Cricetulus griseus: one gene and its partner. The protein of the gene in region 1 purifies or fractionates together with the protein of each later gene. This does not show direct contact. Links are inferred from orthologs where the notes say so. Each region holds a gene or a part of one and is shown on either strand. Other genes may lie near its edges.

The links.
Region 2: the proteins of Rab6b (region 1) and Gdi1 purify together in Homo sapiens (co-immunoprecipitation; 3 studies listed by BioGRID and IntAct, counting the BioPlex papers as one, with this or other methods). This does not show direct contact. The link is inferred for Cricetulus griseus from reciprocal best matches to the Homo sapiens genes RAB6B and GDI1.

The regions. Positions count from the first base shown.
Region 1 is NC_048597.1:211,359,171-211,363,627, forward strand, and holds the start of Rab6b (ras-related protein Rab-6B), read left to right. Parts: upstream 1-1,393; coding exon 1,394-1,463; intron 1,464-4,457. UniProt on the Homo sapiens protein: The small GTPases Rab are key regulators of intracellular membrane trafficking, from the formation of transport vesicles to their fusion with membranes. Rabs cycle between active GTP-bound and inactive GDP-bound states.
Region 2 is NC_048604.1:1,416,112-1,420,571, reverse strand, and holds the start of Gdi1 (rab GDP dissociation inhibitor alpha), read left to right. Parts: upstream 1-1,417; 5' UTR 1,418-1,678; coding exon 1,679-1,723; intron 1,724-1,882; exon of another isoform or gene 1,883-2,114; intron 2,115-2,754; coding exon 2,755-2,862; intron 2,863-3,015; coding exon 3,016-3,115; intron 3,116-3,273; coding exon 3,274-3,408; intron 3,409-3,836; coding exon 3,837-4,035; intron 4,036-4,291; coding exon 4,292-4,423; intron 4,424-4,460. Other genes in the region: Atp6ap1 (V-type proton ATPase subunit S1), read left to right, coding at 192-401. UniProt on the Homo sapiens protein: Regulates the GDP/GTP exchange reaction of most Rab proteins by inhibiting the dissociation of GDP from them, and the subsequent binding of GTP to them. Promotes the dissociation of GDP-bound Rab proteins from the membrane and inhibits their activation.

The DNA of each region.
Region 1 (4,457 bases):
TGAGACTCTAGTGGGTACACTCTGGGTAAGTGCACAAATTTACTACAGGAGTGGGGTGCATTTCACTCCTGGCTCTCTTTGTGTAACACACACCACACATTCAAAACGTTTCCCAAAAAGTATCCCCTGAATGGCCAGAGGTCAAAGCCAGTGGGCAGCAAGACAAAAAGAGGGGAGCTTCGTAAAGCTTCTATTAACCGGATGTTTTAGACTGGGCTGTCCTGGGAGTGCGTCTAGTCCTATTCTGGAGTCTGCCCTTTGCTCTCCCCCTGCTGTGTGTGCCCAGCAAGCAGAGGAGGATAGGAGGAGCTCATTATACAAACAAACCCAAATAGCAGGGCAGAAGAGTGTAGATTGGTAGTCTCTGGGTCAAAAAATGCTGGGCACTGTCCTGGAGTTAGTGGAGCTGGTTTCCATCAGAAGATTAGGATTCAAATCGGTGGGTTTGTTGTAGGCACGTCCTATAAGGGCATCTTCTCTCCCACTGGCCAGATCTGCTGCGAACAACCACAGCCCCCTCCCCATAGAGAGTCTGGACCTAGGTGGGAGGGCAAGCTAGAGGCCACCAGGGGCTACAGAGGAGCCCCACCCCCGGTCTGCACCAGGTATCCTCACATCTCCCTACTGGCCAATACACAGAGCACTGGCCCTTTCCTACCTCCCCACCCTATCCGACCACTGCTCTGCGCATCTGTGTCTGAGACGGAGGAAGGGACCCGCATTAGGTGTCAAAGACCAGCAGCAAATGTCCCCCTGATCACGTAGTATCTTTATTTTTTTTTTCCTAGGTGGGTGGGAGAAACAGAAGTAGCCAGGCCCAGCGAGCCGCTCCGGGGAGGGGGGGGGCACTCTCGTAGACACAAGGCGAGGTGGCTCTCCCGGGAGGGCTGCGCGGTGGGGGGGGGGGCTGGCGCACGCCCCCCAAGCCCTGCAAGCCCACGAGCCCCGCATGACATCAGAGGCAGGGGAGCTCGCAGAGCGCAGGCGGGCGGAGCAGGCGGGCGGGAGGGGGCGCGTGGCGCTGCTCGGAGAGCGCTCCTCCGCCCAGCTCGGTCCCTGCGCCCCGCTCCACCCGCCTAGCTGCCCGCGCCGAGCCTCGGGCGTCCACAGCGCGACTGTCGCCCGTGCAGCCAGCGCCGCCCTCGGCTGCGCCGCGCACCCTGCCTCCTCCCTTTCCGCCGTCGCCGCCGTCGGACACGCAGCCGCAGGCCGGGGCCGGGCCGCAGCTGGGGAGTCAGGGGCGCGCGCAGCCAACCCTTCCCCCTCCGGCTCCCGCACCGCCCGCCGCCTCCCCTCGCCCTCCTACTCTCCCCTCCCTGCTCCTTCGCCGCTTCCTCCTCCTCCTCCTCCTCCTCCTCCTCCTCCTCCTCTCCGGGCCCCAGCTGCCAGCACCATGTCCGCAGGGGGAGATTTTGGGAACCCGCTGCGAAAATTCAAGTTGGTGTTCCTGGGGGAGCAGAGCGGTGAGTACTCGGCTTATTCTCTCGGCTCGGAACCGAGTCTTTTCCCCACGCCGCCCATTCAGTCACCCCACTGGGGACCCTCCCAGTCCCGGCTCGCCAAGGCCCTTCCACGCCCGAGCGGAGGAGGAAAGAGATGTAGATGGGGATATGGGGCCGGCTCGGGTGGGGCCAGGCTGGGGAGGACCCGGGGTAAAGGATGGAGGCGCTCCGGGGTCAGGGGATGAGGGTGAGGATGGGAACTGGATAGGGGTACCCTGTGCAGGTGCGTTCGGGAGGACCGAGGGCGGCGGCTGGCTCGCTTGGTGGCTCTGGGCGCCGGGCTCGCGGGCTCGCTGACTAGCTCGCACTGCGGCACCGGCTGCAGAGCACGGTGCAGGTGTCTGGGTGCCGGCAAGGGTGTGGGCGAAGGGACAGAAGCCTCTCTTGGGAGAATGAGGTGGGGCTGGGGACTAGATGCCTCCACCCCATAAGGTTGCGCCCGAGGGGTTCCCTGTGGACCCTTCCCGGAACCAGGGAAAGGACATCTAGCCCTGGAGCAGATGGCCGCTGAGGAATGGAGCACACGACACCTGTCCCTTTTTGAAAAGAGTAGGTGCAGTTGGTAGGGGAACAGAGCACTTAGCTCCCCTGGCTTACATTTGACTGGGCAGAAGGTTCTAGACCCACTGTCCTTAGCTAATGCATTAGCCTCTTTGGGGCTCAGGGGTGTGGACCATGAGAGTGAAGATTCTCTCTATAGCAGGTGACTTGGGGGATGGTACAGAGGCATCTCATATCAAGGAGCTTGGCATTGGGCAGAGAAAGGCCTAAGCGACACGCCCTGCCTGGCTTCCCTGCCCCCTCCAGAGAGCATCAGTGAAGCCGGTGGATTCTCCCACCCCCATCTCCCAGCTCACCGCCCTTCCTGGGGGAGGGGAGGTCACCGTGACAGCCAGCCAGAGCCGAAGGAGGGAGAGACTGAAGGTTTCTTTGCTGCCCAGGAGTCTCCCCACCCCAAGTATATGAAACCCAGGTTGGTCCAAGGTGGGAAACCCAGACTGTAGAGCAGCGACCTCTCTGATACCTGTAAGAAGGTGTGGCTCCATGAGAACCTCGATCCTGGAGCCTCATCACCAGGGGGTTACAGAGACAAGCTGGGCTCTGAGCATTTCTGCTGGAGGAGAAGGGGATCCCCAGGGGGCGGGATCTCCAGCTCTAGCTCTGTAAACCAGTCCTGTTAGCTGGTTTGGAGGCCAGGAGAAGGAAGGCTGTGGGAGGACCTAGTGGGCTCAGGCACAGTGCAGCTATGACGTGTGCTGTGGTGGTCACATGGCCACCTTCTGTCTGTTGATGCTCAGTACCTGAGATGGAGGTTTGGGATGAGGATGGAAAAAGTGTTTACCTGTCCTAAGACATTCCAGATTGAGACCAGCCCAGCTAGGTAGTCAGCTGGGGCTGATTTCCTGTCCTTTGTAGAGCCCAGTGTCACAGAGGACATCTCCGTTCCCTGCTGTGTGGAAAGGATTTGGGTGCACCTCAGCCCTAAGAGGGAACCTGCAGGTGGACAGCATCCTTGAGGTGGAAGTCTCAATGTGTTGTCTTTTGCCTAATTTGAGACCTCTGGGACACTCAGTTTCTGTCTCTGAAAAGTGGGTGGCTTGAAGGAGCCCTTGTGCCTCATGTTTTCCCCAGTGCCTGGACTATGCTAGAGTCTCAAAGAATATTTGTTTATTCCGAGTCTGAACACGGTTCCATAAAGAATCATATGCGGTGAGTTTGAATGAAAATTCTGGGCTCCCTTACAAGCAGTGCTGATGGGTGGGAACCCCTGCGGAGACTTCTTCCAATCCCCTCCAAGTCTGAAGTCCCAAAAATGAGAGTCAACCTTTATACCCATGCTTGTGTGGAAAGGGAGCTCCAGGGAATGGGGCGGGCTTGCCAGGAGGCCCATTGTGAGTTGTGAACACTTTGGAAGCAGGAATCCACTTTCCTTTTCCAGTCTGCCATTCCTCACTAGCATGTCACTGGGAAATAAGATGACCTTCAATGGGGGAAGCTGCACCCGGAACCTCTTTGAGGGGGAATATGGGCTCAGGGATAGTTGGTTTGGGTGACCTGGTGGGAATGCTGGGCTAGTTGGTTGGGGTAGGGTTCATGGGCCCTTGGTACCTGGTCCATCAGTGAGATTGACTGCTGGCCACCTTGGCGCCTTCTGGAAGACAGTCCAAAGCCCCTGACACAGTTAGTTCTGTCATTCGTGAGTTTCCCTCAGGTTTACAGAGCTTTTGGTATCTGTGAGCTGCAGAGGTTATGTGTATCCCCAAGGATTGCTGCCGTTGTAAGCCCTTAACTCTGCACAGTTTTGCATGCTAGCATCCTCTGCAGCCTGTGCTGTGAAGGCAGGCTTCTGGGGTCTGATCCAACCCCTACCCTAGCTCTCCCTTCTTCTGTGATCAAGGAGGCCCCTTGCCCTCTATACCAGGGCACTTGAGGCAGCAAAATTCAGAAGCATAAGCTTGCCTGTCTGAGCTGAGTCTGCTGGTGGTGGGGGAGGAAGGACACGGGCCTCCTGATCTCTGTTCCTGGTATTGCGGTGGTTATCCCTCTAGGTCCACTCAGGGATAACCTGAGTGGGCAGAGGTGGCTGGACTCCAAAGATGAGTGGCAGGCTTGGAGCAGGGTAAGGAAGAAAAAAACCCTGGGGCAGATATCACAGGTAGGCATGAGGCCTTCAAAGGTATCAAGGAACTGGTTCAAATAGGAAGCCTTTGAGTGTCCCCTCTCTGGAACATACCTCCAGCCTGGAAGAGAGCTTGACAGCGGAGTGCATGGTATCATGTGGCCTATGGACTATAGTCTGGCTGGCAGTGCGAGCCCCACATGGGGTAGGATCCTGGGCAGGTGCTGTGGACCTATGGTGAGGTATTTCCTTGAACCAGGGATGTCATGCAGTCCTTCTGGTGCTCAGGTAACTTTCTGGGTCTTCCTAACTAAACCTAACATGGATGGCAATGG
Region 2 (4,460 bases), on another chromosome or scaffold:
CTCCAAGCTGGTGGCAGTAGGGGGAGGGAAGAAGAGCCCAGAGAATTTCAGTATGGCTTGAGCATGTAGCTGAGAGTTCCATCCTTATGCTGTCTCTGAAGGTCTAGACTGTTCACTGATTCCAGAACCCCAGCCCTTGTTGTCTGTAGAAACTTGTGGTCCCTTCTGATCCATGTCTATGTGTCTCCTAGATCCAGGCCTTCAATGTGACGGGTGAGCAGTTCTCCTATGCTAGCGACTGTGCTGGCTTCTTCTCTCCAGGCATCTGGATGGGGCTGCTCACCACCCTCTTCATGCTTTTCATCTTCACCTATGGCCTGCACATGATACTCAGCCTCAAGACCATGGATCGTTTTGACGACCACAAGGGCCCCACCATCACTTTGACACAGATTGTGTGACCTGTGCCAGAGAGAGATTGAGGGAGTGTTGGTGTCTAGGTTGTCATGTTTGCATCTTGTGGCATAGTGGATAGAAAGTTTTTTTTCTCTTCGATAGCATGAACCCTGCAGTACCCTCAGCCTGTCTTGCTTCCTCTTCAACCTACTGAGGGACTGGCTTCCCTGGGGCTATCCCCCATCTCTACCAACAAAGTGTATATATTCTTCATAGATATTAGACAAATCTTCCAGGCTCCATCATCATGAGGGGAAGGAACATTAATTCTAGGGTTCCCTTTCTCCCTTTCCCCCTTATTTATTCTTGCCCCTCCGCTACTTGCTGTTTATAGTGCTTCTGTGTAATTAATGCTCACTCCCCAAGCTTTATGAATCTTCCAGCAACAGCAATAAACTTGAGGTTCCTTGAGTTTGAGATGTATGGAAAGACTACTTAACTGTCTGTCCAGCTTGGCTGTTGTGTTTTTTGGGTGACATGTTAAGAATGATCTGTACACTGGGGTTTATTTCTGTAGCCTGAGAAAGAAGAGACCTCCACAAGGCTTATTCCCACTAGGATTGTCTGCCAAGAGATGGGGATGGGGGTACTCTTTTTGTTTCCCTTCCTAATAAAATAAAGACGTGTTGTCATATGTGTTGGGCTTCGGCTTTGAGTCACTCATTTCTGCACTTGACAGTAGATTTGTTTTTGACTGAGGGGAAGAAGTGCCCAGGTGTAGTCCTAACAGGTGAGAGGGGAAGGGTGGGAGAGTCTTCATCAAGCTGATTGATACTCTTAACGAGTTAAGGTAGAGGCCCATTATTTCTCCTGGCCTTGGGGAGAGTCCTTACAATGAAAGATACAGGCAACTGCAAATACCACAGGGCCTTGCTGTTTCTCCCAGAGGGGCGGTATGGGATCGCGCCAGGAGGGATGGGACGGGGCGGGGCGCTCTCGGCTCCCGCGCATGGATCTTCGCGGGACGCAGCACCTGCCACGGACCCGCCCCGCCCCGCATTTCTCTGGGCTCGCGAAGATCTGCGTTGCCCCCGAAATTGTACTGGTGCGGAGACTCAGGCGCTGGAAGCCCTTCCAGAAAATAAGCGGGAGAAACGGTGGCATCGCTAGGGTGTGGCAGGGCCCGAGGAGGGAGAGGGACTCTTTGACGCGGCGGAAGGATCTGGAGACGACTGATAGCCGCCATCTTTGGTTCAGTGCGGTGGCAGCGGCGGCGGCGGCAGTGGCTGCTGTGGTGAAGGAGGAGGAGGAGCCGAGCGGGCGTTGGTACCAAGGCCTGACCATGGACGAGGAATACGATGTGATAGTACTGGGGACAGGTCTTACCGTAAGTGTCACCCTAGGCACTCATAGCCCTGTAGCATGCCTTTCCCATCCCCCGCGGTGATGCAGAGCCCTGGTCACCGGTCTCATTCTCCCATCATTGCTTTCCTGGCTCTGGTCCTGGCAAAGCCAACCCCGCTCCCACCCCACTGCCTCACCCTAGGATGTCGACTCGACGGCGCTGCCATCTTCTTGCTTCCCCGTAGAGGACCCTGTTTCAGCCTGTATCCCTGCACCCTAGGACCCCTTCATCGTCCCTATCTGTGTCACCGAGGTGGAAAACTACCCCCCCCCCGGACCGGTTGTGCCCAGCCCCCACCCTTCACCTGCTTAGCATCCTTGATTAGCATCTCTTACCATTTTGTGGTGATCACACTAGGGCATTGAGTATAAAGGTATGGGTATGGGGGCATTCCAAGGGTGGGTTCTCATCCTGCCTTTTTGCCTTTTGAGAGGGGACGGTAATTCAGGGAATGTTCCAGAAGCAGCAGTAGTGGGGGTAGTTACGACATTCCCTCTACCCCAGTCTGGTTTCCCATGGAGATCTCAGGCTGAATATATCCTCTGCCTTTGTCCTTGGGCTAGTGACAGTGATTGGTTGTTGGTTTGCACCCTGAGTCTGGACCGGTAGATAGGGCTGGAGGGTCAGGGGCTCCTGCCTTTGTAGGAGGAGCAGCCCAGGGTGGGGTCTGGGATTTCATTTGAATTGGTTCTTCTCCAGACTCGTTACCTTTTTGTGGGCTCAGAGCAGGCAGATACTTACTTGGCTTGTGGGTACTAGAAGACTGTCCTTGGGTCTGCTGGAAGCTCTGCCTCCCTAAGCCTCATTTAATGCTCTGGCATTTCACCGTCTTGCCTAACAGGGTTATAAAGGAAACATCGAATGAAGCCATTTCCCCTCTCTCCAGTTTTAGGTGCTACAAGAGGCAGGGATTTATGTTACAAAATTTATGTCGGGTTTGAGTCAGGGACAAACCAGGGATGCAGGTCAGAAGGCAGATGGGAGTGTAGCTGCAAATGCCACCCCTCCCCCAGGAATGCATCTTGTCTGGCATCATGTCTGTGAATGGAAAGAAGGTGCTGCACATGGACCGGAACCCTTACTATGGGGGTGAGAGCTCTTCCATCACACCCCTGGAAGAGGTAAGGCTTCTTGGACTTGAGCTAAGACCCAGACCCCTTTTTAGTCTCTCACATAGGGGCATGGGGGCAAAGTAGTTCCCAGGTGCTGGGCTGGAGAATGGGAGAGGGATAGGTGGTCCTTGACATTTTTCTTTCTTTCTGTCCTGTTTACAGCTATATAAACGTTTTCAGTTGCTGGAAGGGCCCCCTGAGTCAATGGGCCGGGGCCGAGACTGGAATGTTGACTTGATCCCCAAATTTCTCATGGCCAATGGTGAGGGAGATTAAGAAGATAATGTATATGGTGATTGGTGGGTGGTGGTGATTGGGAAGACCAGAGGGGAGGTTCAAGCTCCAGAATAAGGTCAGTCAGACAACTGAGAGATTTTTGAAGGGAGCTACACTGACATCCCTAATCCTCTCTGGACACAGGTCAGCTGGTAAAGATGCTGCTGTATACAGAAGTGACTCGTTATCTGGACTTCAAGGTGGTTGAGGGCAGCTTTGTATACAAGGGAGGCAAGATCTACAAAGTACCATCCACTGAGACTGAGGCCTTGGCTTCTAGTAAGTATGAGTCTCCTTAGCCAGAGAATAATGGGACAGGAGGAAGCAGACTATTCTCAAGATAGTTAGGCAAAAGGCTCCCATTTGCCTAAGCCTAATCTTAGCTCTATGTAATACCAGAGGCCCCTTGCTTTATAGTACCTTTATTGGAATGTGCTACCCATCCTGGCAAGTTACCAGAAAGGAAGCTCATTGAGGAGGATTTCTTTTTGGCAGAGGGCCTACTTGACCCCCATTGCATCCCCAAGTGGAGCTAGGAGTGCCTCTTCCTACAAATAGGAAAACTAAGGCCAAGAAGGGTGGGGCAGGGTTACATGACTGAGCTCTGGTGGGAGCCAGGACACCAACTTTCCTGGCCTGCTCTGGTGGAAAGAAGAGTTTTATGTCCCAGTAATACAAAAAGAGTCTTTTCAATACCCTTCCTTCAGATCTGATGGGCATGTTTGAAAAACGACGCTTCCGGAAATTCTTGGTGTTTGTGGCAAACTTTGATGAGAATGACCCCAAAACCTTTGAGGGTGTCGACCCCCAGACCACCAGCATGCGTGATGTCTACAGGAAGTTTGATCTGGGCCAAGATGTCATTGATTTCACTGGCCATGCCTTGGCGCTCTACCGCACTGATGAGTGAGGGGAAAGCTGGCTGGTGGCAGGAGCCCCTTTGTCTGCCTCACACTTTATCCTCCCCACACCTGCCTATTGTATCCACTGCCCACCCTGCATATCTCTTGTACTTGTCTATAAGTTCACCTGTTGCATTTCCATCCCTCTCTTCCATTTGACTCATATCTTTGCCAGGTCACAAAGGGTGGTGGGAAGGCGGATGGTGTCTTTGAAGGTGAGCAGGAGTGCTGCTGTCAAAGCATCTTCTCTTGTTCCCCAGCTACCTGGATCAGCCCTGTCTTGAGACTATTAACCGTATCAAGTTGTACAGTGAGTCCTTGGCCCGGTATGGCAAGAGCCCATATTTGTACCCACTCTATGGCCTGGGCGAGCTGCCCCAGGGCTTTGCAAGGTGAGGACCTTTTTTTCCCAAGCTGGCATTAGTGGGT